4 linked regions of the Lonchura striata genome follow. The protein of the gene in region 4 purifies or fractionates together with the protein of the main gene of each other region. This does not show direct contact. Links are inferred from orthologs where the notes say so. Each region holds a gene or a part of one and is shown on either strand. Other genes may lie near its edges. The genes, in order: LIMD1, ANAPC1, SAV1 and LATS2.

Region 1 (7,036 bases), on a different chromosome or scaffold from region 4:
CTTCACTATAAATCTCCTACAGGACAAAGCCTCCTTCTGCCTTGCATCCTTATTTTGTGACAAAAATGTAAAAGTAATCTAACCATTAACTGGGTTCCTCTGCCTCCTGAGCCCATCCCCAGGCACATTTTAGATGAGGTATGATCCAGCTGGTTTACTGAGAAGACACAGCAGGGTCTGTTGGAGAGAACCCTGACACCTCTCCAGTGGAGCTGAATGTCACCTCCAGAAAAACATTCCCATTTTCGAGCATCACCTGCCGCGAGCCTGCTGTCCCAACACCATCTCCTTTATCAGCTCCTTGTCACGGCATTCAGGCTCCCCTAGCGAGGCTCCCTGATCTCATTCAAACCGCGCGCTTCCTGCACAGGACGGAAAGTGCCAAAACTTGTTTCCAGGCCAAAACACTGTGAGTAGAGCAGCTGAACACATCACTTTTCTGCGACAGGATAAAAAAATGCCCCTGCCCTGCCACAGGGCTTAATTCAGTCTCGGATACCAAGATAAACAATCCCGGCACAGCCCTATGCGGGCAAATCCCCCTGCCTGCTGCCAAGAAACACATTTTGTTATGCAATCTGCAGCTGAGCGCTCGGTGGTCCCTCCAGCTACATCCCAAATCTCGGCATGAAGCTCTTGTGTGACTCAGACCACCACTAAGCCACCCACCGACCCCACCAGACAGGACCCAGTGCAACAGCACCTGTGCTGGCCGAGATGCAAACCCTTCCTTAGTACTAGGCTGAAGAGTTTAATTTGTCCCTCTTCTACTTCTGCAACTGCAGGTCTAAAATAATGAGAAATATCCATACACCTGGCCTGCTCCCATAGTTTCTTAAATTAACCATGGAGTTTCCAACCTTCCCAGCAACTCTGGGCTTCCCTCTCCCAAAAGCTGAGCTATCTTATCTGCTGTTAAATTGTGAAGTGGCACAGCAGGGAAAGGAAACACGCAATTTGACCCTGACCTCCTGCCATCCTGGGGTAGCAAATCAATTTAATCCAGAAGGACATTCAATATTCTTATCAGGAGATCCTCGTACATAAGTGGTTCCTTTCCACTGCCAAGTGCCAGCGATAACCTCTGGTGGTGGTCTGGACTCATCACAGACCCCAGATTTAGGGAAGAACGTGCCTACTGCCTGTTCTGACATCTTCAGGACATACCAATCATTTCACTGCTGATGGGATCCAGCACCTGGAGGCAGAGGGAAATCCTGGCAATTTTGGGAAACCACCGCCCTCCCCATCTCTGAGACACTTCTCCCTCCCCTGTACTCCGTGCCCTTCTCCATGACGGCTGCCTATGCAGGCAGGACTGCCCCGCAGGCTGGATGGCTGCCTTCCTGCCCGTGGTCGGGACACGTCCTTCTAAGACACAGAACCAGTAGTATTGTCAAAAAAAAGTTAAGTGCCTCCCTGCTGGCAATGAAGGGCACTTCAAAATACTCTGTTCCAGCTTCTTCCTAGCACTGCCGCCCGCCCCCCAAAGCTGCTAAACTACCTTTGCTTTAAAATTACAGAGGTAGGATTGAAGAAAAAGGTGTTGCAGGAGGAAGAGCTTCTAATCCCAGTGATAAATAAAAGTTAAATAAAATAAACTCTGCTCTAGGCAACTGACAGAGCACAACCAAGCAGATGTACAGGCAAATGCAATCCTGCAGGTCTGAACCCTGCCGTGACACTTTGCAGTGAGCGACGGGCGGATCGCCTCCTTACCAAAGTAATCAGCCTTTGGCCGAGCATCCATCTCCTGCTCCAGCCGCTGGGTCAGTGCCTCCAGCTTCAGCTCAGCCGCCGATGGCCCTTGCTCTGGCTGCGGAAGGAGGGTCTGGCAGGGCAGCTTCACCTTTGCTGCGCTGGAGCCATCCAGGTGCCCCGAGTCTGACCGCGGCCCGCTGACGGCCTCCGGGAAAAGCCTCTGCGGCGCACTGGGAGCCGGCATCCCTCGCGAGGCCAGGCGCGAGGAGCCCGCCTCAGGGCTCCCGCTGCTGCCGGCGGGCCTGTGGGTCTGGCCGCGGGCCACCAGCTGACTGCCCGGGCTGCGGTATTCCACGCTGGGAGCAGCGGCTGCGGAGTCTGGCGGGAAGGACACCGAGACACCCTGGTACCACGGCTGGCCGCCATCTCCTCCGGCTTTGGGACCGCAGGGCTCAGCGGAGCCTGAAAACCCTCGAGTGGGCTGCGCTGAGGGTGCCGAGAAGGATGAGGACCTCTGCTGCGGCGGGGGCTCCTCTGGCCCTACCGAGGGTGCCGAGGGGATCCCGGAGTTTGAGAAGGAGGAGCTCTGTCCGGCCGGCATCGGGTCACGGCCCCCGACACCTCGCCTGCCCTGGCCGCCGTTCTCCTGCCCGCCGCGGCAGGGCAGGGGGTCGCCGAGGCTCCCAGCCTGCTGCTCCCCGCGCCCCACGCCAGGCTGTGTGCCCCCCGCTCGGGAGATCCTGTCGGGCTCCGCTTCCCAGCCCCGGCGCCCGGCCTGGCTCCCCGGGGCCCCGGCACGTGCGCCGCTCTCTCCGAAGCCCCGCTCCCCTCCCTCGCAGGGCCTCGCTCGCGGCCCCTCGGCGGCGGGGGGCGGCTTCGAACCCCGCGCCACCGGCGGGCTGGGACGGGGGGGGTGGAAGGCGGCAGCCCCTCCGTTCATCGCGGCCATCAGCATCTCCTCCTGCTGCTGCTGCTGCTGCTGCTGGAGGTGGATCTTGGCCATCTTGGTGGCGAACACCCGCCTGGTCTCCTCGAACTCGGGGTTGTTGCCGGCACCTTTGTCCACCCGAAAGAGACCGTCCTTGGAGGCCTCGTACATGTTGAGGTCCTCGATGAACTTGCTGGCTTCCAGACCCAGATCGTCGTACTTGTCCATCCTGCCCGGCTTAGCGGGAAGACCCCCGCCGCCTTCTTCTTCTTCCTCTTCCTTCTCCTCTCCTCCTTCCCGCCGGGATCAAGGTAACGCCGGCAGCGGCAGCCGCTCCGTCCCGCCGCGCCCGTCCCCGCCGGGGGCGTGGCCTGGGGCGCGGAGGGGGCGCGGTCACGGAGGGCACGCCCCGACCCACCCGCTGACCGCGCCCAAGCCACGCCCAGCGCCGAGCGCGCTGCCCGGCCCGCTCCGCAGCGGGCGCGCGGTGTGCCCGGAAGGGCGCGGTCCCGCGCACGTCCCGCCGCGTCCGAACGGGCTCGGGAAGGGCGCGGGTCAGCCAGCACAGCTGGGAACGGGGTGCGCACGGTGGCTAAAGGCACCCGAGTGATGCAATGAAAGTGGTTTTGCCTCGTCTCTGGATGAGAATTCCAGAGTCGGATGATATTCCTCTGGATGATACTCCTCTTTTTCACCCTGCAGCCCGGAAACCTTCCTGAAGAAGCCTTGTGAAAAATCACAGGCGCCCTTTGGGTAAAACAAAAACAAACAACAGCCCTACTCCCCCATGAAAAACTGCGAGGAAAATCTCATCCCATAACTATTGGAGCAATAAGTATGTATAGCAGGAAATTATATTACTTTTCTTGGTGTAAATAGACATTCTATGCTGGATATCATGCTTAAGTTAGCATGACTAAAGGAACCTGGATCACTGCAGGAAGACGACCCCTTGCCTGAAGAATAAAGGATACCTCTGGATGCCCAAGATAACATCAGCATCCCAGCCTTCCAGGCACCTTTGGGAACACCCTCACCCCATTATCCAGCATCATACATGTAACTGCAGCAAGACCAACTCCAGAGACATTCAGATTAGGAAAGAAGCAGATGGATCATGACATCATAAAATTATTGTTGCTTTGGAATTTGGTAGCATATGTGTGATACATAGGGACTGGGCAAAGCATGTTGTTCCCAAATGCTTAGAAGGTATAGGAGCTGTCTGTAAAACTGCATTTGGGGTGCCCCTATGTGATTGGGACACTTCATGTCTGTGATGAAAGACTTACTCCTGTGAATCTACACTTTACTTCTCAGTCTCCCTCTTCTGTCAGCCTGGGCCAGTTGCAAAATTTTCATGGCAAAACACAGCCTGGAACTGCTCAGAGGTTGGGGGCTGCAGTAGGAACCTCTGCTGGGTTCGTGAGAGAGGCTGGTTGGTAGGTAGCTGTCATACCCCTGATAAAACTTACTGGTGCAGTTGATCCTACAGGCCCAGGCACGTGTCCGGCATTCCCATAACTTGTTATTGTAATTCTCCCCCAGGCACCAGGAGGGAGGGCCAAATGTTAAGGAATGTGGAAATTCTCTGCCTTTAATAATGGCGAATTGGGCTGTGACCAAAACATGACAGAAATAAAAAAAAAAAATTCCCTCCCCTCTTTGACCCATTCCCTTACAAAAATACTCCTGAGCAACTGGGGCCAGACCTGTGAGATTTGAATTAACGTGCTTAAAAATGATGGCACTGTGAGCCTCTGGAAAAGGTGCCTTGCCTTTCAAGGCAACCTCGTAACTGCTGTGGTGTCTCCGAAGAAGCTCTGAGCAGGACCGAGAGGCTGAGGCAGGATGAGCTGGAGGCTGCAGCAACAGCCTTAGGCTGGAGCTTGAGCTGATGAACTTTGGACTCACAAAAGTTAGCCCAGCCATAGCACAGCTTTAGATAAGGAGGTTTATGGTTTCTAGGGAAGACAGGTGGATGGGAATCCCAGCACAGGGCGAAGCACAGCAGTGGAGCTCCCCCAGTCCTCAGGACCTGGAGAAGTGGCACCCCAGCACATATTGCTACTAACCATGGCCTGACACTTTTTAAAGATATTGAAAATGCTGGAGCTTTTCACAATATCAGAGAAATATCCCAAATATCAAGCAGCCCCATCTATCAGACCTTTCCAAGCCCTCCTCTGCTGTGAGGATGAGGGTAGGAGGGGTCTCATGGCTCTATCAGGCTGATCCCCACAAGCCCCGTTTCACTTTGTGAGAAGCTGGGTCCCTGGAGGCTAAACCCCACTTTGCACAAGTCCCAGGAGTTCAGGAGGAGTTTTTAGACTCTGTCTGGTGTACACTGTACAAAGACAACAAACCCCTGCCTGTGCCAGGGCTCTTTGTGCTGGAGTGGAAGGGGTCCCATTTTTGTGGCTGGGAGAGGCCACAGTGGCCCCCATCAGCTGCTTCATGCCAGGCTGGTGTAGGCTCAGGTCACCAGTTACCAGCGAGAGTGACTACCTCTTTTGTGGGTCTTGACCAAAACTGTCAAGTCTGAGGTAAAGCTCAGCTGGGGCAATGAAAGCCAAAACAGTTTCAGTGTCTAAAGAGCATCCTCAGAAAGGGCTCCTGGAAGTATGTTTTTAGCAACATCCTGGGCTGACCAGGAGAACCACAGCAAGTGACTGAGGCCTGGGATGCCTCCTCCTCATCGCTGGCTTCAGGATGCTTTTGGAGATGGGCTTAGCTGAGGTGCTTAGCTTTCAGTCTGACCACTTTTATCTAAAATGGGCAAGCTTCAGTGTTCAAACAGTAAGTAACAAAAAATTGGTTCTGAAGCACATATTCAGTTCATATTTGTACAGAGAATGACAGAAAGGAAACAGAGCATCAGGTAGATAAGGATGAGAGCGTGAGCCCCAGCACTGCTTTACTTGCTGGAGGAATATGCAACGTGGACAAAGAGCAGTTGGAAAGGAAATTACACATCGTGCTCCTTCTTGCCTCCTTCTACCCAAAGGATGTGAAGTTAATCAGGAGAAGCCATGTGCCTGTGGATGATGTGCATCCAGCACATCAGAGACTCAGACTTGTGTCTACTGGAGTTTTTTTTAATTCCAACACACTGAGATGAGGCTTTTCCATCCCTCTAAAAAACCACCCATTTGGTGGAGCAGAAGGATTTGGGGGAAGATATCTCTATTTTCGGCTTTCAACACAAAAACCAAGGAAAAATCTAACTTCCATCAGATCATGTATTTTAGTTTTCTTTTTTAGGGTCATGCACACATTTTCTGCCGTTACTTTTTATCTAACATCTGTAAGTCCTTTTACAGTCTGACCTGGAGGAGCTCACCACTTTGCAGGGGGAAGGAGTGGGGGGAAGCAGACTTCTTGCCAAATGGCTGCTCTGGATGCTGCTGACCTTCACCAGCTATGTAAAGTACATTTCCTTCCTATGCCAGAGGATCAAATCAGCTGTCTGCAGAACAATGCTTACACGGACGGCATGGAAAAGGCTGCTGAAGCCCTTTGGATAGGGAACCCCTCGCACTGGGCTTGGTCTCCTTCCAGGCTCCGCATGCATGAGCAGACACTTTGATGGCAAGCGCCTTCGAAGGGGGATCACTGCCAAGCGATTCAAAGGCATCTTGGAGTTGAAACTGCGACGCTTTCCGTGAACATCAGGCAGCAAAACACCTTTGAAACTTCCTGCTCAGATTTATTCTTTTCTGTGAGATTTGTGCTAGGGGTATTCCTAAGTGAGCAGATGATTAACTTGAACTTTCTACTAGACTGGAGATGTAATACTACACTGACTTGCAGACCCTTCTGCTGTGATTAGATATGCTCCCACATGTTTATAGTTCCTGTGACATTTACAGCCCATGCCTATTAAGAAATTAAGGGGTCTACGATTGCTGTTATAACACAGGACCAAGATCTATGAGCCAATTTGAATTAACTTATTCTAAACCCTACCCCTTGAAGAGAAAAAAAAACCAAACAAACCAAAAAACCAAAAAAACGTTGCTCATTTAATCTGTTTTTGTTCCTGTGGGCAAGGCTTACACACTGCATTTATTAATGCAAAATAACGCTGACAGCTTGTAATTCAGCCCCGCTCCACGTGGCAATCTCAGCTGCCCATGAGGTGGAGGGAGGCAGTGATTTGGGGAGAAGCAGCCCCGAGCGGTGTTCCAAGCTTTTGGCTGCACCTCGGTTGGAGTGCTGGGCACATCACCGCAGCCTTGTGCTGGGGCAGTGCCGCTCTCCAGGGCCGGCAGGCTGGGGCACAGCTCTGCCTGCCCGGGTAAACGGGGAAGTCGCGATTGAGAGCAGGAAGGGGATCATCCGTCTTTGTTTCTTGCTGCCACGTTGGTGTCTGGGCTCACATTGCAGAGAGATGGAGAAAATGTG
Region 2 (7,832 bases), on a different chromosome or scaffold from region 4:
AGTGGATTAAAGCTGCTCATCAGCACATTGTCCAACTGCTTCCTTTGGGATGCAGAGAGGGCTTCCACAAGAGTTGGAAGCTTCAGCCAACAGGGAATGGGATCCCCACTCTGCAGGGAATGGGATCCTCACCAAAGAGGAAATGGGATCCTGCAGCTGAGAGATAATGTCTCGATGCTAATCCCTCAGTGACTCTCCCAGCTGACCATGACAGCCTGAAATCAATTCCTAGGACAAATTTAATGGAATCAGGCTGGTGCTTCCCAGATCCTATTCCTGGGACCAGCACACCCAAATAGTTTTTAACACTCAGCTTTGAGTGTGCTCACTCAGTCACTGGGATGATATAAAAAGACTGGAAGAAATGCATCAATAAAATCCCAGAATGGTTTGGGTAGGAAGGAATCTTAAAATTATCCTATTCCATCCACTGCCACGGGCAGGGGCACTTCCACCATCCCAGGTTGCTCCAAGCCCCATCCAAGCTTTCCTTGAACACTTCCAGGGAGGGTCAAACATAACTTCCTCCTTTTCCACCCAATTCCACCTTTTTCTATCAGAAACACACGGATATTTCACTACTGCCCTTCAACTTTCCATTCCTTATTAGATTATCCAACAGGAAACCACCCAAATTCCTCAGCTCATACCTGGGTGGACTTGGAGGCACCTCATGGGAAAAACTGCTGCGCTCAAATAACAACCCATATTTGGTTGGCCAGACATTTGCAACCTATAAAAAAAATATGGATTTATGGTGGGATAAAAACATCAACCATGTGCTGTGTTGATGATGTTTGAGGGTCTTATAGGAAAATACGATGTTCAGGCTTTTTGCGCAGAGCAGGGAAACATAAATGTGGACAAAAAGCATGGCAGAAGTTACCTGGAAAGGCAGAGCAGCGATGTAATCCTTCCCCTCCATGCTGTGCACATTTATGCAGGAATTCTGCAAAATGCAGATACATTTCTCCACTATTTCGTCATTGCCTGACACTGGAAAGGAAGGAACAAAACAATTACACAGTGAAGTTTCACTCTGTTTCCGACATCCCTTATACACAAAAAGTAAATTCTGACATTTCAAGTCGTGGTGAATGAGCTCCTAGAGTGTGTCCAGAAAGGGGAATGGAGCTGGGAAGGGGCTGGAAAACAAAGACTGGCAGAGAAAGCTCAGTCTGGTGTAAAGACGGCTCAGGGGAGACCTTCCGGGTCTGCACAACTCTGTGACAAGAGGGTGCAGCCAGGTTGGGGTCAGGCTCTGCTTTCAGGGAACAAGGGACAGGATGAGAGGAAATAGACCCAAGTTGCACCAGGGAGATTCAGGGTGGATATTGGGAAAATTCCTTCCCCAAAAGAGTATCCAGCCCTGACACAGGCACAGGGCTATAAAAGCCACGTGGATGCAGCACTTGGGGATGTGGTTTTGTGGTGGCGTTGGCAACAGCTGGACTTGGTGGCCTCTCAGGGCTTTCCCAAACTAAACAATTCCATGACTCAAAGCCAAGAAAGCTGAACTCAGAGCATTTGCCCAGCAGCACAAGAAGCAGGACACTCACCATCAGCTTTTTCTGATTTTTCCTGGAACACAGTGAAGTCACACCACAAGGCCTGAAACCCAACAGAGCATCATTAATTCTCCAGAACGAGCTGCTCCCACACAATGTCACCTTCCCCTGTTCCCTGCCTAGAAAGGGTCTGTGGATTCCCTCAGTGCCCCTTTCCCACATTTCTGTACCTGCAGGACGGGGCTGTCAACGGTGAATGCCTTGTACACAGTGGACGCTTGGCTTCTGCTGCCCTTGCTCCAGATGACCACATTGCTGGCCACGTACAGCTCCTCGTCATAGTCCACCTCCTCCCCGACATCACTGATGCCTTTCCTCAGCTGCCAGCTTTCCTGGAAAACAGAGGTTTGTCAAAAGAAAAGCCACAAGACCCACGGGTGTGATGAGTTAGGCCAGTTACAAGGTGCTGGCACAGAAAAGTTGTGTCTGCCCCATCCCTGGAAGTGTCCCAGGCCAGGCTGGATGGGGCTTGGAGCACCATGGGATAGTGGAAGGTGTCCCTGATCATGACAGGAGGTGAAATGAGATGATCCGTAAGATCCCTTCCAACCCCAAAAAACCCTGGCATTCCATGGTAAGGACAATCAGGATCCATTTAGATTTATTTTGATGGAAGCCAGGGAGGAATGGGCAAGGGAGACCCTTTGTAGAGTTCTGAGATTTAGAGTGAACCCCCTTCCTCCCTGAACTCCTTCTCAGAGAGGAGCTGGGATATGGATGGATCCAATCTTAGGCTCGAACTCCAGCAGAGCTGGGGCTGTTCACCTGGCGAAGAGAAGCCTCCAAGGAGACCTTAAAACCCCTTCCAGTGCCTAAAGGGGCTCCAAGAGAGCTGGAGCGGCACTTGGACACGAGTCTGGATTGACAGGACAAGGGGAAATGGCTTCCTACTGCCAGAGAGCAGGGTTAGGTGGGATATCGGGAAGGAATTCTTCCCCGGGAGGGTGGTGAGGCCCTGGCGCAGGCTGCCCCATCCCTGGAAGTCAAGGGCAGGCTGGAGGAGGCTTGGAGCAGCCCGGTCTGGTGGAAGGTGTCCCAGCCCACGGCGGCGGGCGGGAGCCGGATGGGCTTCAAGCTCCCTTCCCTCCCGACGCCCAGCTCAGGAAGGCTCGTACCCGTTGCCGGTCGTGGATGGTGACCTCTCGGAGGGAGCCCACGAGTCCTGCGGCGCCGTCGGAGGAGCAGAGCTCCGGCGCGGGCTGCAGACGCCGCAGCTGCAGGCTCAGGGCGCTGGGGTGCCGCCGGCTCTGCTCGCGGCCCCGCGGCGCGAACTCCTGCAGGTCGCCGGCCGCAATCATCGTCGCCCTCTCGTCACAGTGGTCCGACATGGGGCCCCGATATCCTCATTATTTCCGGGACGCGCCGGCGGGTCCCGCGGGCACCTGGACGCGCGGGGAGCGGCACCGGCGGCCCCTCACGCGGGCGCGGCCATCTTGGCGCTCCCGGGCTGCCCCGCGCGCGCCCGCCCCGCCATGGCCGCGCCTGTTCCCGCCGTGTCCTGCGGCATTCCAGTGCCTCCCGGCGTATCCTCGGGGGAGACTTCCCCCAAAATGCCCTTTCGGTGCCACAGTCCCGCCGAGCGCTGGCACGGCGCTGCCGGGCGGCGGTGGTTGGGGACTGCTGTCCTCCCGTGGCGACTTCCGTCATGGATCGCCCAGCTCACGGCCTGGGGTCGTGCTGGACTGTCTTTGAAATGACGGAGGATACGTTTAGACGGATATTGGGAAGTAATTCTTCCCTGTGAGCGTGGTGAAGCACTGGAAGAGTTGTCCAGAGAAGCTGTGGCTGCCCCATCTCTGGAAGTGTTCAGGCCAGGTGGGAGCAACTTGTGATAGTGGAAGGTTTCCCAGCCCATGGCAAGGAATTGGATCATGTTTAAGGTTCCTTCCCACCCAAATCATCCCAGCATCCCAGGATAAAGAATAATCAGAGTCCATGTAGAGTGATTTTGATGGAAGCCAGTGATGTAAAAAGGAAGAAAGGGTAAAGGAGATACAGAATAAACCCTCTTGTTTCCTAAACTGCTTTTCAAAGAGGAGGTGGGATGAAGATGTATCCAATCTTAGGCTCAATCTCCATCAGAATTGGGAGTGTTCACCTGGAAAAGAGAAGCCTCCAGGGAGCTCTTAGAGCCCCTTTCAGCGCCTGAAGGGGCTCCGACATAAAGGAAGAAAGAATTCTGTGCTGATGCTCTTTTTGTTGTTGTTATTGTGTCTCTTGAACTGGAACAAGGATGTTTGTTCCAGAAAAGCCCTGCCCTACTTCTGCATGGCCCCTTCTCCAGTTACATCTTGTTCATTTACCTGGCATTTAGTACCAACAATCCTTGTCCGTTATTCCCAACAATTCAGCTCCATGGCCATCTGTGTTCGAGACATGGACATTGGCCCAGAGAAGCTGCCCCATGCTGAGAGTGTTCCAGACCAAGTTGACAGGGCTTGGAGCACCCTGGGATAGTGAAAGGTGTCCCTGCCCATGCAATGGGTGAGACTGGATCATCTTTGAGATCCCTTACAACACAAAACATTCTGGGATTCTGGAATTCTCTGATACGGTGCTTAAGAAGCTACTTTGTGGGACCAATGAGGCTTCTGCAGCCACCCCGGGCATGGGTACAACTCTCTTGCCACCATTCCATGTGCTTGTGACATGGATTAGCATAAATCTGTGTAAGTCTGGGCTCTGCTGACTTATCCCGGCTAAAATCCTCGCTTCTGTCACATAGGAGGGGCTGTTCTGTCTGGAATGGAGGGAGATTGTGCCATCCCCTCTCCCTCCTGGATAGGAGCAAAGGTTGGGAAAGACCGTTCAGATCATCAAGTCCAACCATCAGCCATCACCACGACCATGTTCACCACTAAACTATGTCTTCAATTGCCACGTCCACATGTTTTGTTTTTTTTTTTAACAGTTCCAGGGATGACGACTGTACCACTCCCTGGGCAGCCTCTTGCAGTGCTTTACAACCCTTTCTGTTCTCATAGGATTTGTACCCCATCCAACCTGGCCTTGGACACTTTCAGCAATGAGACAGCCACAGAATCTCTGGACAACCTGTGCCAGGGCCTCCTCAGCCTCCCAGGAAAAGATTTCTTCCCAATATCCCATCTAACCCTCCTCTAAAACATGTATGGAGTAGCTTGATGGGAACTGAAAGGGCAAATTATTTATTTTCAAGACATGAGTTTCACAATAAGCAAAGAAGGGAGAAGCTGTGGATGAATTGAAAACATACTTGAAACTGGAGTCTGGGTTTCTTTGGTTTAAGCTGAGACAGAAGTGCTTCTCAGAAAGGAGAAGCAGGGTAGGAAAAGCCAATGTCCAACCTTTGCTTTCGCAAAGTGATTTGCAGAGCAGGAGAAATTGTTCTGGGAAGAGCCAGCTAAGCCAAGGGACAGGATGTGCCCGGTAAGAGCTGCAGGGTGTCCCAGTGCCCAGAACAGGCACAGCAAGAAAAAGGCATTTTAGTGGCATCACAAAAAGTTCCGGTTTTCCCTTCAAATTGTTTGGGAGCCGCATCCTGTGTCTGGGGTTTAGCACTGAGCACAAACGGGCCAGCTGCCCTCAGCTAAGGACGTGTTGCCAAAGGAGTTTGGCATTTGAAAGAACAGGAGCCCCTGAAAATCAAAATAAAAATAGGCCCAAAGAGGAAGCAGGAATAAAGGAATGATTTAGCAAAATGAAAATAAAAACACATAAATAGCTGGGAAGAAAATACCCTCAGCAGACAAAAGCCCACACGTCTGATTGCCAAGTGCCATTTCTGCTAAACAATCCGATTTCCCAAAGGAAAAATTGGATCCAAGGTCTCCCAAAAGTCTGGTGAGGAAACAGAGTCAATGCACTGAAGTGAAACTGCAAAGTATGGGTCAGACTCAGACACCTGCATCACTGGGATCCCGCCAAGGAAGAGCTGAGGATCCCTGCAGAGAGGGATCTTTTGGGACCTTCTCACCCAGGCTGTGAAGATAAGGATCTCTCCCTCTGGTGCAGGACACAGCAGGAAAACATGGACTCCTCCTTGCTGGTGATGGATCAGATAACCTTGGGTAGTGACTGGTTTAGCTGATTCAGGGCTGATCCTGCTGCTCAGGAAAGGTTGTCCCTCCTTCTTTTGACACCAGTTGCCTTTTTGCCTCTCCCACTGCCCCAGGAATTATTCTTAGGGCCAAATGCCACCTGATTCCCAACCCAGGCAGTGGGAACAGGGGATGCTGCTTGGCATGATCTGGTGAGTCAGGGCCAAAAACCATGAGTGGTTTGTGGGGATACTCCCCAGCAACTGTTGAGTTTGGGCTCTGAGGATGGAAATCCATCACCTGCTTCAAAAAAGACCATTCCAGTATTCCATATGCTGTGAGGAGCAGGAGGATGGCACTGAGGTATCCTAGAGCCAAAGGGGCCAGATTGGCTCCTGCCAACTGCTTCCAGGCTTTTCCTATCACCTGAGAGTTTCTCCTCTGATTTCTCCTCTCCGATTTTTTCCTCCCTTTCAACCTGTTCCTCACGTCAGGCTGTGCAACAAACCCTCTGGAGCTGGAGCAGAACCCAACCTGCTGCAAAGAAATGACCCAAATCAGGGGATTTTTGGGAGCTGTTGAAATCCTCTTTATGGTCCTGCATGTTCTTGTTTATTTTTTAAATTCCTCTTTTGCACAATCTGCTTCTCTTCCTCACCCTGTGTTAGTGGGGTGACTGTATCCTGATGCAAGGGCCATTCCCAGCCTGCAGCCCACAAAGTCCAAAGGCTTTTCCATTGCTTTGTTTCCAAAAATTGCAAAGCCAGCAGGAGCAGCAAGGAATGCAGCCAGATCAAAGTGCACTCATGTAGCAAAGGCTGACCACAAATGACAGGCATGGGACAAATGTCTGTCCCTGGTCTTGTCCTGCTCCCTGAGGGATGCTGGATCCACAGGGAATATGCCCAACATCTGAAGGAAAAGCAGTGCTGCTGGATCTTCATGGAAGATGCTCCAACTTCTTGCAGCAGTTTTAGTGAGTTTTCCTTCTTCCCTTTCCTCGGGGCCTCCAAGTCCATGAGCCCTTCCTTGGCTGCTGATGGCTTCAAGATATGGGAAGCTGGGATGAAAATTCAATCCCTGTCACCAAAGCCTGGGAATGTGCAGTGAATAAGCAACTTTGCAAGTCAAAGAAGACTGGGAGTGATCTGTTGCAGTTTTTTAGCTGAGCTTAAGGAGGTTTTTCTTCCCAGATGGAAAAGGCTTCAAAGTGGTGTGTTTCTATTCTTTGGGAAGAGTACAGCAGGCAGTGACTTGTGTCACAGGTTCAGGGAGCAGAAAGGTTGGTGCAGAGAAATACCAGTGCCCTTCAGCCACATCATCAGGATGCTGGTTCCCCAAATCCCAGTCCCTTCCCATGAGGCAGCAGGCGAGGGGAACACGCATGACCCCGATACACCTTGGTCCCAAATGTCCCCATGCAAGGCCAGTGTTGGGGCAGGGTCTGAATATCCAGAAACTCCCTTGTTTCCTTCCCATGCCACAAGAGATCTGTTCAGTTTGCCTTGGGTTAATGGCTTATGTTGGTTTCCCCTGGGTCTTCCTCCTTTCCTTGTTTTTGTCCCTGTTCCCTATTATCCTGCTGGTATGGGCCAGGTGAGAAGGAGCAGTGCCTTCAGCACAGCATTCCCATGCTGGGCAGGCCAGAGGGCAATGGGGTGAGTGAGATTCCATAGGGTGAAGTGACCAGTCCTGCGCTTGGGTCACAAAAACCCCATGGAGCGCTGCAGGCTGGGGCTGAGGGGCTGGGAAAGGTCCGAGGTGTGCAGTGGCTGATCACAAGCCCAGGTGTGCCCGGGTGCCCAAGAAGGCCAATGGCAGTGGTGTGGCCACAGGATCATGGCAGTGACCGTCCCCCTGTGTGACCACTGGTGAGGCCTCACCTCAAATCCTGGGGGCAATTTTGGGCCCTGCATGAAAAGAAAGACTTAGAGGTGCTGGAGTGTGTCCAGAGATGGGAATGGAGGTGGGGAAGGGTCTGGAGCACCAGGAGTAGCTGGGGGAGCTAGGGGTGGAGGCTCAACCCGGAGACAAGGAGGTTCAGGGGGGACCTTGTCACTCTCTACAAGTGTTTGGGGGGACCTTGTCACTCTACAAGTGTCTGAATCATGGAATGCTTTGGGTTGGAAGGACTTTAAAACTCATCCCATTCCCTGCCGCGGGCCAGGGGCACCTTCCAATAGCTCAAGCTGCTCCAAGCCACATCCACCTTGGACACTGCCAGGGATGGCACAGAGGAAGTTGT
Region 3 (7,117 bases), on a different chromosome or scaffold from region 4:
CAACAGGTCCTGCCATGTCAGATATGAACTACTTCATTACACAAAGTGTTTTAAATGTTTTCAGCTCTTTATGAATCACTGTGAAAATAAAGGCACATAGACATTTCAGGTTGGGGGTTTTGGAAGGGGACAGACCCCAGGTTAAATAGAGGTGTACAAAATTGACACAGTTGAAGTGCTGCTTGTCAATTTAGAATGATTTAAAAGTCTACATGGTGGCACATGCTCCAAGTAGTACTTTAAATACAAGGAAAAATTGAGTTGTTTGAATTCTGGTTGAGGAAAGAAACAGGATTTTAACATATTTGGTTTTAGCCAGGTTATGTGTTACAGCAGGGGGAAGAGTCTGGATTGATCAAGAGTAAAATCTTTTTGTTTACTTCCAGCACATGCCATCCCTGTCACTCAGGTTTTCCATCATTTACCTGTCCAATCTCCTGTTTGGTGTCATTTTATGACAAACAACTTCTGTATAAAGGAAAACAAATGTATATTATTTTTTTTCTATTGAGTTTGTTTTGTTCCGGTGTAATATATTGTCCTTAGAACATCATGTAAAGCCGAGAGAGGAAGCAACTGACACATTATTTATAATGAGTATAAAAAATACATTAATGTACAATGCATACTTGTGTCTTTTTGGTTTTTATCCAGCATGAAAATAATAGAATAATTTGGGTTGGGAGGGACCTAAAGCCCATCCATTCCCACCCCTGCCATGGCAGGGACACCTTCCATTATCCCAAGGTTGTTCTAAGCCCTGTCCAAGCTGACCTTGGACACTTCCAGGGATCCAGGGACAGCCACCACCTCTCTTCCCATGGATGTTGTAAACACTTCAAATAGTATCTGCAAGTTTATCAAAGGCATGCACAATAATAAAAAGGATGGCTTGACAGCTGTGAAAAAGTAGTTTTTGCATTACAAAAGTATGACATTGAAGTGTAAAAAGCTGACAGGTAGTGAACACACCTTGGCTTCTGTTCAGCTGAAGTTGCATCCCTACTCTTCGCCTTTATATGGGAAGTATTGGGGGCTCGTTGCAAGATTTTCACACAGTCCTGGGGTGGGAAAAGCAGGAGGGGACCAGCGTGGGTCCCTGCTCCTGGTCAGGCAGGGGGACGGGGTACAGAACTGTGCCTAGTTCTGGGCTCCTCATGACAAAAAACACCGAGGGGCTGGAGGATGTCCAGGGAAGGGAACAGAGCTGGGAAGGGAATGGAGAGTTCCTGAGGAGCCGGGAAGGGAATGGAGAGTTCCTGAGGAGCTGGGAAGGGAATGGAGAGTTCCTGAGGGAGCTGGGAAGGGGCTGGAGAGTTCCTGAGGAGCTGGGAAGGGGCTGGAGAATCCCTGAGGAGCTGGGAAGGGGCTGGAGAGTTCCTGAGGAGCTGGGAAGGGGCTGGAGAGTTCCTGAGGAGCTGGGAAGGGAATGGAGAGTTCCTGAGGAGCCGGGAAGGGGCTGGAGAGTTCCTGAGGGAGCCGGGAAGGGAATGGAGAGTTCCTGAGGGAGCTGGGAAGGGAAGGGAATGGAGAGTTCCTGAGGAGCTGGGAAGAGGCTGGAGAGTTCCTGAGGAGCTGGGAAGGGAATGGAGAGTTCCTGAGGGAGCTGGGAAGGGAATGGAGAGTTCCTGAGGAGCTGGGAAGGGAATGGAGAGTTCCTGAGGAGCTGGGAAGGGAATGGAGAGTTCCTGAGGAGCTGGGAAGGGAATGGAGAGTTCCTGAGGAGCTGGGAAGGGACTGGAGAGTTCCTGAGGGAGCTGGGAAGGGGCTGGAGAGTTCCTGAGGGAGCTGGGAAGGGAATGGAGAGTTCCTGAGGAGCTGGGAAGGGGCTGGAGAGTTCCCGAGGAGCTGGAAGGGGCTGGAGAGTTCCCGAGGAGCTGGGAAGGGAATGGAGAGTTCCTGAGGGAGCTGGGAAGGGGCTGGAGAGTTCCCGAGGAGCTGGAAGGGGCTGGAGAGTTCCCGAGGAGCTGGGAAGGGAATGGAGAGTTCCTGAGGGAGCTGGGAAGGGAATGGAGAGTTCCTGAGGAGCTGGGAAGGGGCTGAGCCTGGAGCAAAGGAGGCTCAGGGGACTTTGTGGCTCTCACAGCTCCTGCCAGGAGGGGACAGCCGGGGGGGATTTGGGATCTGCTCCAGGGAACAAGGACAGGAGAAATGGCCTCAAGTTGCTCTAGGGGAGGTTTAAATGGGATACCAGAGAAAATTTCTCCACAGAAAGCGTTGTCAGGTAGCAGAAGGGGCTGCCCATCCCTGGAGGTGCCCAGGAAGGCCGGGATGTGGCACTGAGCGCTCTGGGGACAAGGTGGGCACCGGGCACGGCTTTGGACTCGTTGATCCCGGAGAGCTTTTCCAGCCTCGGAGATTCCATGATTCCATCACTGTGGGGTTCTGTCGCTCTGTCATCCCGGGGTTTCTGTCATTATTCCAGGATTTCTCTCATTCTGGGATTTCTGTCATTCCAGGATTTCTGTCACTCCGAGATTTCTCTCATTCCGGGATTTTTGTCATTATTCCTGGATTTCTCTCATTCCAGGATTTCTCTCATCCCGGAATTTCTGTCATCCTGGGATTTCTGTTATTCTGGGATTTCTGTCATTATTCTGGGATTTCTGTCATTATTCCGGGATTTCACTCATTCCGGGATTTCTGTCATCCCAGGATTTCTCTCATTCTGGGATTTCCGTCATTCCAGGATTTCTCTCACTCCGGGACTTCTGTCATCCCAGGATTTCTCTCATTCCAGGATTTTTGTCATCCCGGGATTTCTGTTATTCTGGGATTTCTGTTATTACTCCGGGATTTCTGTCATTATTCCAGGATTTCACTCATTCCGGTGTTTCTGTCATCCCGGGATTTCTCTCATTCCAGGATTTCTGTCATCCCAGGATTTCTCTCACTCCGGGATTTCTGTCATTCCGGGATTTCTCTCACTCCGGGATTTCACTCATTCCGGTGTTTCTGTCATCCCAGGATTTCTGTCATTCCGGGATTTCTGTCATCCCGGGATGTCTGTCATTATTCCAGGATTTCTGTCACTCCGGGATTTCTGTCATCCCAGGATTTCTCTCACTCCGGGATTTCTGTCATCCCAGGATTTCTGTCATTCCAGGATTTCTCTCATTCCGGGGTTTCTGTCATTCCAGGATTTCTGTCACTCCGGGATTTCTGTCATTCCGGGATTTTTGTCATTATTCCCGGATTTCTCTCATTCCAGGATTTCTCTCATCCCGGAATTTCTGTCATCCCGGGATTTCTGTTATTCTGGGATTTCTGTCATTATTCCGGGATTTCACTCATTCCGGGATTTCTGTCATCTCAGGATTTCTCTCATTCCAAGATTTCTGTTATTCTGGGATTTCTGTCATTATTCCAGGATTTCACTCATTCAGGGATTTCTCTCATTCCAGGATTTCTGTCATCCCAGGATTTCTGTCATTCCGGGATGTCTGTCATTATTCCAGGATTTCTCTCACTCCGGGATTTCTGTCATCCCAGGATTTCTGTCATTCTGGGATTTCTCTCACTCCAGGATTTCTCTCACTCCGGGATTTCTGTCATCCCCGGATTTCTCTCATTCCAGGATTTCTGTCATCCCGGGATTTCTGTTATTCTGGGATTTCTGTCATTATTCTGTGATTTCTGTCATTATTCCAGGATTTCACTCATTCCGGTGTTTCTCTCCTCCCAGGATTTCTGTCATTCCAGGATTTCTCATCCCAGGATTTCTCTCACTCCGGGCTGTCTCCTCCCAGGATTTCTCTCACTCCGGGCTGTCTCTCCTCCCAGGATTTCTCATCCCAGGATTTCTGTCATTCCAGGATTTCTGTCATCCCAGGATTTCTCATCCCAGGATTTCTCTCCTCCCGCCCGCTCCGTCCCCGCCGCTCCGCCTGTGCCGCGCCCTCCCTGCCGCGCGGGGGCGCTGCGGCCGCTCCCGCGCTGCCCCGCTCCGCCTGTGCCGCGGCCTCCCTGCCGCGCGGGGGCGCTGCGGCCGCTCCCGCGCTGCCCCGCGGCCGTGCCGGAGGGCGGCGGCCGCCGCCTTCCCACAAGGCCCCGCGCGCCCGCCGCGTCCCCTCAGCGACCCCGGCCCCGTCCCGATCCCCGTCCCCGTCCCCATCCCAACCCCGCTCCCGGTCCCGGCTCGGCCCCCGGGGGCGGCTTCGGAGCGGGGAGCGGCGCCGGGCATGCGGGCGGTGGCAGCGGGCCGGGAGGTGGGATGCTGTCGCGGAAGAAGACGCGGACGGAGCTCTCCAAGCCGGGCGAGGTGCAGGGGAAGTACGTGAAGAAGGAGACGAGCCCGCTGCTGCGGAGTGAGTGTCGGGGGCTCGGGGGGCCCATCCCGGCCTTCGTGTGCGGCGCGGCGGGCCCCGGAGCTGCGCGGCCGGGCGTGAGGGGGAGTTACCCCTGTGGCTGCGTGTAAGGGTTATTGCTCCCTGTAAATGTGTGCTTAGTGCTGCTACGAGCCCTGGGAGGTGAAAGCTGAAAGGAAGTTAAAGCTCAAAGGAAGCTTCAAAGGGAGCCCTGCTCGTTCCAGCGTTTTCTTGGTGGGGTTTGTGATTTTCTCGGTGGCTGTTTCAGCAGGCCTCAGGGGTTCAGAGTTGTGTGAAATGAAGCCAAGAGCTCTCAGGGTGTGCGGGATGGGGAAGGTGCCTGCGGCACGGGCGGCCAGCCCGAGTTGTTCTGGGTTCCGTCCATCCATGAGCCCGCTGCCCCACCTGGGCATTGTCAATGAGATAACTGTCCCGCCAGACAGGTAAAATATCGTAAAATAAAATCCCTGCGGAAACAAATGCTGCAGCTCCTGCCCGTGGCTCAACCTGGGCTGCCCCTGGCTCTGATGCCGCAGCCCTGCGCTCCTGAGGCTGGACACCACAAATGCACACCGAAAGTGTGCTCAAGGTTTGGTTTTGTTGGTCTTGAAACACAACCCGACGCTGAAATGGGTCTGTGTGCTCAATAAATTGACTGCTGACACCTGGGGTGCACCAGATTTTAACCGTAAGCTGTAAGAGTTTATGAATAAAAAGTAATTGACAATAGGAGTAACGTCGTTCTAAATGAAAATTATCATCTATATTGATTTATCTGGAAGGAATCTATGTATTTATATCGTGTTGAAAGTAAAAGTAGGGAGAGGAGGAATGTTTCACATACTGGAGGGAGGCAATGAAATTCTAAAGGAGAAAGTGAACTATCTCCCTGATAATTTGAGAACTTAATGCTTATGGAATGACATCGTTTTTCTGGCTGAACTTTGTGACTTTGGGATTAGTGGGGGCAGCGTGAATTCTATCTTGGATTCCTGTGGGCATTAATATCTTGTCATTCCCAGTTTGTAAGGACAACATTCCCAAAGAAGCAGTAGCCAAGATATGTGGATTTTTTCTGAGAGATACGAACCCTGACTGATACAGCCACAGCACAGTGTGGGTGGTTTGGTGTTTTGTTCTTTTCTTGTGTGGTTTTTTTGATGGGTTTGGGGTTGGTTTGTTTACTGCAGCTGCAGTTTTACTGGCAGAATGCTCAGCGGGTTCCTGGTGTGGTGTGTGCGCCAGGATTCTCTGCAGCGTTACCACCACATTTGCACAGGCGTTAGCGGCTCCTGCACGAGAATTCCCCCAGTTTGAGTGTGTAAATCACCGCGGCTGCTCCGGCAGAGTTCTCACCTCTCCTCCGTGCTCTCTGGCAGATCTGATGCCTTCCTTTATCCGCCACGGTCCGACCATTCCACGACGAACCGATATCTGCCCTCCCGACTCCGCATCCTCTGCCTACGCGCCCGGCGGCGATGGGATCGTGTCCCGCAACCAGAGCTTCCTCCGAACTGCGGTGCAGAGGCCGCCCCACGAGATAATGAGGCGAGAAAGCAACAGACTGTCCGCACCTTCCTACCTGGCCAGGGGCTTGGCGGAGGTGCCCAGGGAATACGGCTCCTCCTCGCAGTCCTTCCTGGCAGAAGCCGCCCCCGGGCTGGAGAACGGCGACGCCGGAGCCCGCGGCTATTACTACGATCATTTCTACGATGCCCAGAGGAGACGCCTGCACGAGGACTACAGGTATTACGAGCACAGCAGCGATCTTTTCCAGAGGATGTCCCAGAATCATGGGAGGCACACTTCAGGTAAGGATTCGTTGTTGCTTTTGTTAAAATTCCGGTTTTGGTGAGAGTTTGGGTGCAGTTTGGGGAGTTTGGATGATCAGGATTGTGTCTGAGGTGTGTGGGACAGAGCTGCTTTTTCATGGCATTTCTGGGATTTGGGTAATTGGAATTGAGGGTTTGGTCACAGATATCCAGAACAGAAAAATAGACTTAAACCAGGATTATTTTCTTAAATAAATGGAGTAAGGCCAAGCAAGTTTTGGGGTTTTTAATGCCAGGCGTATGTACATCTTCTCTACACATCACTTGCTGGCTAGCAGGGAATTTTATTTGTTGGGGGACATCTCCTATTTTCATAATGTAGAGAATAACCAACAACTCTAAATTACAACATTACATTATTATTATTATTATTAATGTTAATATGAATATTAATTGTTATTGTTATTAGCATTACATTTTAACTATCGTCTTATTACTTCATTTCATTGTTTGAATTTGACTTCAATAATAGAAATAATTCCTTACAAATAGTCATAGGGAAGAATGACTGTTTTTTGTAATTAGTAAATTGGCATCTAATTAGTGTTGGCATTGACTCCTTAATCCTTGACTCCTTTCGTTCAGCTTTTAAAATTGTTTGTAAATATGCCTGTTCCCCTCTTAGTTTCACTGGAACTTGCCTTTGTTTCCTAAAACAAAACAACATAAAAAAGAAAAATCCATTACATACTACTTTTCTGAAATATTTGACTCTGATATTATAAAAACTATGCCCAAGAAGGAGTTTGGAACATTTCAAACCTGTAAATAACATCCCTTCAATATGAAATACATTGTCACTTGTAATCTGTGAACAAAGTAGTAATTAGTGGCTAATAAAATGAATCTCCTGTCTAGAAAAAGAAATCTGCCAGGAAGAACATCAGCTTTTAATGCTGCTGACCTCATGTGTGGGATTAGAACCTGTCAGTGCCTTCTTCATCAAAGAAACACTTCCATGAAAAATGGAAATGCCAG
Region 4 (6,970 bases):
GGGTGAAAAAAAACCATACCTAAACCATACTTAGAATTTTGTTATAGTTTATTTTTTTTACCTACTCAATTATTGAAGTACTGAGCCTAACTTTGACCATCAGAAATGCAATTTTGCATCAGGGTTAAGCATGCATATTATATTCACATATAGGTTGCATTGTCTGTACTGCGCTGGAGAACTCAGAACTGCTGTCTCAATCTGGTTTTGCATTGGTGATTAGGGAAGAATGATTCCCCAGTATCACTCTGCAAAGAGAATCAATGTGTTGAAACAAGAACATTTCAGTGACATTGTAAAGTCTTTTTTCTTGCACATCATTCATGTTACATCACACTGGTTTATTCTAAATATGTCACTGTTATTCTAAACAGGATGTCACTGTCAGCAAATTCCTTGTGTATGTATGCTTACATGTGTTCAGATGTTCACTATTATTTCACATGTGTGTGTTCCTCTTTTTGAAAAAAAAACTAGCAGAGGACTAAGCATTGCTGATAATATTCCTGCTTTACTTTTTCAAGTTTTCTGAAGGGATTCAAGCTTTTAGTGGCGATTAGTACTGTGTAAAGAAAAGGTTCATCCACCTACATCATAATTACTTGGTTGTTAGGAGTATTTTTAGCAGCACAATTTGGTAAATGGTTCCAAATACAATAATTTAGAAAGAGACACTGTGGCCCAGCAAACAGTGAAACAAGAGTACAAGGAGGGGATGAGGCAACACACAGCATCAGATGTCAGGATGGAGCTGCGCAGAGCTCCCACCACCCTTGTTGTTGCAGGTGGGTGGAAGGAGAAAGAATGTGAAATAGTGGATCTGTGGTCCTTCCCACTTGCTCACACGGCAAGACAGTTGCTCAGGCAAGTCAGCAGATGAGTGCTGTTATCACCACAGACCCAGTAGCATCACTCCCTGAAGCAAAACCATGAATGAACACAATGACCCTTACTCATGGTCGATTATTATCTCGTAGTCTACTCTGGGAACAGACTTGCTGCTGGCACAGCCCAAATTGCATTATTCTTTTTATGGAACATCTTTCCTTCTGGAGGTGCCTTTCTGGGGAGAAGATAGCTGGGAAGAAAGACTTGATGGTAATTTCCAAAGAGATTACTTTCACAGTAACCTCCAAAAACCTTAGAAAGATCAAATCATGTTTTAACCAAGTTGTTGTATCAACCTAGCTGACTTCAATTTCCCTTGTATTTCTGAGGAATGCAATTTCCACTAGTTTGCGTTTCTAAAAGGGTAAAACCAGAAACCATCTACAGAGTGTTTACATCTGTGGTGCACCTGCTGAATACGGGCACCTTCTAGAGGATGGATGCAACCCATCTCCCCTGTACTTTCTGCTCTGCTGGTGGGAATTCTATTCCCAATTCTGTGCAAATGCGTTAAATTCAGAAAGCGCAGCTGGCTGGAACCAGGAAGCAAAATCGTGCAACTGAGTCTCATTCCCAGATGGATCAGAATGCAATAGGAAAACAAAAAATTCCAAAGGAGAAAAGTAAGTTAAAATATCTTTTACTTAGATTTAAGAAAGCTGTTAACAAGTAAATCTTACAAAAGGGTATTATAGCACAGAGTAAGCAATTTTTATCTTGATGCTGTTCCTTTAAACCAGCCTGAACTTTGTTGGGAAAAGGTCTCAAGCCATTGAGCAATGTCTGGTTTGGGCAATCATGTTGCTATGCTTCATCGGATAAGCACAGCAGTAATTCAGAAAATGAAGCCATGCTGCATCTGTCATATCATTTAAAACTTACTTCAGTTTTGCAGGTATTTGAAGATTGCAAAATGACCCACATTTTCCTGCAATATTCTGCCAACACTGGAATCTGGTCTGAACCTAATGGATTTCCTTATCTTTAGCTTTCCAGAGTGAGAGAAAAGTTTCCTCTTTCCCCGCCCTGACCCTGCCCTACAATATATTCCAGTCAATGACACTATTGAAATTCTGACAGCAATTTATATACAGTAACTGACTGCCTTCAGATGAGATGCTAAACAATTTCTATGCAGGCTGCATTTTTCTCCTGAAATGCAGCACTCTATTCTTCTCCCAAACCAGGACTTTTATAAGCACTATGTTTTTAATAAGCATTATTCATTCATATAGGCACTATTGACAATTTTGCATGGAAGACATTAAAAAAAAAAACTACAATAAGCAAGCTCAGAGAAATATCCTGAGATAGGACTGTCCATAAGTATATTACTTACAAAAATAGTCTCCCTGGCTTGGAAAAGGCTGTAAATATAGCTCCCATCCTGGAAAGACAGTTATGCACAGACTGTGCTTGCAGTCCTGTGGAAGACACTGGGGCTCATCACATGATTAAATGTGTCTTAACAGTTTGCAAGACTGACATTTTCCCTGCCAAACAGAGCAACCCCACAATGAGCACCTCTCAGCTGTGCAACAGGATTTTAAGAATTTTGAAGAATTTCAGGACTGCAGGCTTCTTCCATGTTAATGATCTAAAGATATATGCCTATATATAAGAAAGTTTATTTTCTTGTGTTTTTTTACTCTGTATGAATACCCCCTGGTTATGACTAGCCAGCGTCCCACATCCAAACATTAATGTATTTGGGAGTGTGGGGATTATTTCTCATTGTGAATTGTGTTTATTTAAGACCAGAGAGATAGCTAAAATTATATTATTCCTGCTTTCTTGTAAAACAGGTTCACAGGGGGACATCATCGCTCTCTAAAACTATCTGAAAGGAGGTTTAGTGAGGTGGGAGTCTGTCTCTTCTTCCTGGTAACAAGCAGCAGGACAAGAGGAAATGGCCTTAAGTAGTGCCAGGGGAGGTTTGGATTGCATCCTAGGAAAAAAATTTTCTTTGAAAGTGTGGTTGGGGCATTGGAATGGGCTGTCCAGGGAAGTTGGGAGGTCAGGACTTCTGGAAGTGTTCAAAAGGTACATGGATGTGGCATTTGGGGATGTGATTTAGTGGTGAACACATTGGTGCTGGGTTAATGGTTGGACTCAATGATCTCAGAGATCTTTTCCAGTCTTAGTGAATCTATGAATCTGGTTCCAGGTACTTCCATCCATAGCAAGGTCAAATATGAACTTTGTATCCAAATATCCTTTGCAGCTTCATTCTGCATTTTTGTTCCAGATGTGAATTCCCTGTCTGTCCTCTGATCTCTGATACCTCACAGCTCCCTTGTCTCCTCACCATTATGAAACAATATGAAAAACAAGTAACTGGTCCTCGAAAGAAAACAAACAAACAAAAAACAAACAAACCCCAAAGCAAACCAGAAACCAAAAGGAAACCCTAAGAAGGCACTGATCAGTGCTGCAACTTTATGTGTCTGGTTAGTCCAGCATGCGATGGATACTGGCAGAAATAATGGTTATCAGCACACACCTTTCAATCTAAATTAGTTTGGAGCATGCGGTGAGTGGAAGAGCATTTCCAAGCCACCTGTTTCCCAGAGAAGCCGTGGATGCCTCATCCCTGGAAGTGTCAGAGGCCAGATTGGATAGGGCTCTAAGCAACCTGTTTTAGTGGAAGGTGCCCTCCATGGGCAGGGGTTTGAAACTAGATGGCCTTTTAAGGTCCCTTCCAACCCAAGCTATTCCATGATTCTACTCCGGCCCATTCTGCCGCAACAAGTGGAGGCAGTGCCACCCCTCTCCCGCCAGAGCCCAGCGAGGAGCTGCTGTGACGCGGAGTGGGTTTTGTGAGGGGGAAAAGCGTCCCTTGCTCCTGCCCGTGCCCCTGCGGCCGGGCGCTCCGAGGGGCCGGCGGGCGGAGCGCGGGCGGCCCGCGCCGCTCCGGTCCCGAGGGCGCCGGCCCTTCCCGGCCCTTCCCGGCCCTTCCCGGCCCTTCCCGGCCCTTCCCGGCCCTTCCCGCCCTGGAAGCCCCTCCCCCCGCTGGAATGCGCCGGGAGGGGAGTGGAATGACGCGGGCGCCGCGGGTCACGTGGCGCGAATGGAATGCCAACAATGTAGCGAATGTCCCGACTGCGCCCCGCACTCGGCGCCCGGGACGGCCAAGGGGGAGGATGGAGAGCGGCCCGCGCCGCCGCCGCTGCTGAGCCGCGCCGAGCCGACCGCGGAGGGCGAGCGGCGGCGCCGGGCGCCCCGGGAGGTGAGCGGAGAGACTGCGGGGGGCGCGGGCTCCCCCTCAGCTCCGGGCGGAGCGCTCCCCACCCCCCAAAACTGCTCCGCGCGGAAGGGAGATTCCTGTGGGGAAGCGGGGGGTGCGGGCGAGCGGAGCTGGGTCGGTCCTGGAAGCGGGAGCGAGCGTCCCGCGTGTGAGTCCCCTGGCGGGGGCAGTCCGGGCGCCCTGCCCGCGCCCTCCGACATTTTCCGGACACTTGTGTGACAGCGCGGCGCAGCTCCGGCGGAGCGGGCTGGGGGTCCGCCTGTCCGAGGCCTCTGCCCCAGCTGGCCGGAGCTCTAGTAAATGGCCGGAGTTTATTTTGGGAGCTTTCTGCCCACGAGAGGAGTGGGGGGAGAAGGGGCTGCCGGCGGCAGGAGGTGCGAGGCGACCCGGCGGGGCAGACCCTGCGGGGCCGGTGTGGCAGGGAGCGAGGGCCGCGGGGAGCTGGCCGGGGCACGCAGAGCCCGCGGGGGCACCCGCTGTTCCCGGCCGGCTGAAGGTCACTGCCGAAAGCCAGCAGCTCGCCACCCTCTCCGCCGCTCCGTGAGCGGCGTGCGTGTTGAAATACCCCTTTCCCCGGGAGAGGCACTCGCGCAAATGACGCAAAAAGGGCTCGTTTGGAGTGTCCGGACTTTGCGGTCAGTCACTGCCGGGCTGCTGTGGAGGGGGAAGGTGAGCTGCTTCCCACAGCCCTGAGCTGGGCCGGTGCTTGTGGCTGGCAGTGGGACACGGGCAGAGTCAGTTTTGGACAGTTCTGTTGGCAGGAAAGGCAGAATCGTTTTAGGGAAAATCCCCTTCTCACTTTTCTCCGTTTCCACAATGTGCCCACTTATAAAGAGGACCACGGTTTGTATAATAATGAAATTCCTGAAACGCTTTCCCCCCCCATTGTAGACCTTCAACACAAAGTGAACAGTCCCTGCTTTCTTGAATTGGTGTTCTAAAAAAGCCCCCAAAGCAATCGCTGTAAATTGAGAGATAGAAGGAAGTTGTAGCAGTTTCTTAAAACTTTACTCCTTCCTATACTGCAGTGATTTCAAGTTCAGCCCACTCCATGCCTGCACAGTTACAGGGAAACAGCTCACCAGCTTGGGTAAGCTTTAGTTTCTTGCCTGTGTCCCAGCTCCAGTGAGCCGCTAGCACATGCAGCCTGTTGGTGAATGAAGAAACAGGAGAGTGAATAGATAGTGCTGCTGGGAAAACAGACATAAACGTATAATTTCAGTGTGTCATTGATCGGTTGTTTAGTTGCTGACAGAGCAGCTATTGGTGTTTCTCAAATGAAACAATTAGTTACTCCGTAATTGTTTAACTTGATGTAATTAAAGTAATGCTGCACCTGCTTGAAGTGTCCATTATCCTTCAGGATAATGGACAAGTTTCTAACTAGTACAGAACATGTAACATTTTGGAAAAGACCTTAGGATTGTTTAGTCAGAATGGCTAACAGCTCAAAAATAATTTCTTCTGCTGGCAGGAAGGCTGTTGTTATATCTATGCTGCAGGCAGGGTGCAGATTAGAAGGATTTGAAATTATCCAAATCCAGATGTACAGTTAAAAATGCTTAGACAGAATGAGACACACTACATATCTTTTAAAGCATACAACCATTTAATGATTTTTTCTGAAAAATGCAGATCACAGGAAGATATAAAAAAGCCAGCAGCTTGTCTTTCCTTGTAAATCATCTGTAATATTTAGTTCTTTTTTTTGTTTTACTTATCTTACATTTTTAGTTAAGAAAAAAAAAAAAAAACTCTGCAAAATATGAAACAGGTTTGCAGTTAGCTCCAATGCTGCTGTTGCTGCTCTCATCCATACTGTCTAAGCGAGCAACATTTCTTTCTGGTTTAAGCAGTATTGTAAATGTAAAGCTAAGGAAGTTGCCAGCTGGCTTGACCCAGCATTATTAGACTCGAGCTGAGGCTAAAGGTCACAGAAGTTCTTTATGTGAAGCATGTGTGTAAGTGGGAAAGCAGTCTTTTGCTGCAAAAAGGTGGGGGCCTTGCAAGCTTTCCCAGTGCGTCCCAGGCCTGAGGATTGGCACAGGGACTGAAAAGGAAGAACAACCTAGATGCCTAAACCAAGCCATATGGTGCCTTCTGCTGTCAGGAAAAGAAAGAAAATTATCGACCAGTTAATTGCTTTGTATCTACTAAGCACTAGCTAGTTATGATGTAATCCACAGAAGGCTGCAATACTATTGTATTTTATTTTTTAGCAAGCCTGTGTATTATCTTTTGCTATATTCTGTCCAAGTAGAAATAAAAAACTTTTTTTGAGATCCTGCAGTTGCTTTTGTTTTGCTTGGGACAATGAAAGCTTGATCTGTTACTGACCAATAGCTGGTTTGTGGAAGCATTAAAATTTGGATGAACAGCTTTAGCACTTCCCTTAAAACAATTGGCAAATGTTGCTGTCACTTCTCTGTGAGTTGGCGTTGCAGTATATTAATGCAGAGCACTGAATGGAGGAGCTCAAGTCCTCAAACACATTATAGGTGGTTTTTAGTTAATGGAGCATTTAAATCCTAACAAAAAATGTTGACTTGGGTTAATATCAAGCGATTAATCTGTGCTCCTGCATTTCAGACTGGTGAACTGTCATAGAAGAGTCTGGGGTCTGACTGCACTGTTGCATTTCAGACCTTGGTAGAGGAAAGCCTGATGTAGACTCTGTCCTGATGGGGTGGTTGTGGGCTTCAGAAGTGAATGTGTCCCGATTCTGTTGGGCTTCACAGCAGTAAGCTGTTTGCTTGGTGGTGAGAAATGATGATAAATGCATGGAAATGGTTGTTTTTTTGGGAAGTGCTACAGCTATCACAACAAAAAGAGTTT

What was found.
Region 1: the proteins of LATS2 (region 4) and LIMD1 purify together in Homo sapiens (affinity purification with mass spectrometry; 3 studies listed by BioGRID and IntAct, with this or other methods). This does not show direct contact. The link is inferred for Lonchura striata from reciprocal best matches to the Homo sapiens genes LATS2 and LIMD1.
Region 2: the proteins of LATS2 (region 4) and ANAPC1 purify together in Homo sapiens (affinity purification with mass spectrometry; 3 studies listed by BioGRID and IntAct, with this or other methods). This does not show direct contact. The link is inferred for Lonchura striata from reciprocal best matches to the Homo sapiens genes LATS2 and ANAPC1.
Region 3: the proteins of LATS2 (region 4) and SAV1 purify together in Homo sapiens (affinity purification with western blotting; 4 studies listed by BioGRID, with this or other methods). This does not show direct contact. The link is inferred for Lonchura striata from reciprocal best matches to the Homo sapiens genes LATS2 and SAV1.

What each region holds. Positions count from the first base shown.
Region 1 is NC_134603.1:111,426,427-111,433,462, forward strand, and holds the start of LIMD1 (LIM domain-containing protein 1), read right to left. Parts: upstream 3,019-7,036; 5' UTR 2,858-3,018; coding exon 1,720-2,857; intron 1-1,719. UniProt on the Homo sapiens protein: Adapter or scaffold protein which participates in the assembly of numerous protein complexes and is involved in several cellular processes such as cell fate determination, cytoskeletal organization, repression of gene transcription, cell-cell adhesion, cell differentiation, proliferation and migration.
Region 2 is NC_134605.1:27,745,936-27,753,767, forward strand, and holds the start of ANAPC1 (anaphase-promoting complex subunit 1), read right to left. Parts: upstream 3,010-7,832; 5' UTR 2,897-3,009; coding exon 2,684-2,896; intron 1,901-2,683; coding exon 1,739-1,900; intron 1,612-1,738; coding exon 1,560-1,611; intron 997-1,559; coding exon 887-996; intron 734-886; coding exon 651-733; intron 1-650. UniProt on the Homo sapiens protein: Component of the anaphase promoting complex/cyclosome (APC/C), a cell cycle-regulated E3 ubiquitin ligase that controls progression through mitosis and the G1 phase of the cell cycle.
Region 3 is NC_134608.1:2,199,274-2,206,390, reverse strand, and holds the start of SAV1 (protein salvador homolog 1), read left to right. Parts: upstream 1-4,110; 5' UTR 4,111-4,213; coding exon 4,214-4,307; intron 4,308-5,686; coding exon 5,687-6,118; intron 6,119-7,117. UniProt on the Homo sapiens protein: Regulator of STK3/MST2 and STK4/MST1 in the Hippo signaling pathway which plays a pivotal role in organ size control and tumor suppression by restricting proliferation and promoting apoptosis.
Region 4 is NC_134604.1:71,597,771-71,604,740, forward strand, and holds the start of LATS2 (serine/threonine-protein kinase LATS2), read left to right. Parts: upstream 1-3,966; 5' UTR 3,967-4,117; intron 4,118-6,970. UniProt on the Homo sapiens protein: Negative regulator of YAP1 in the Hippo signaling pathway that plays a pivotal role in organ size control and tumor suppression by restricting proliferation and promoting apoptosis.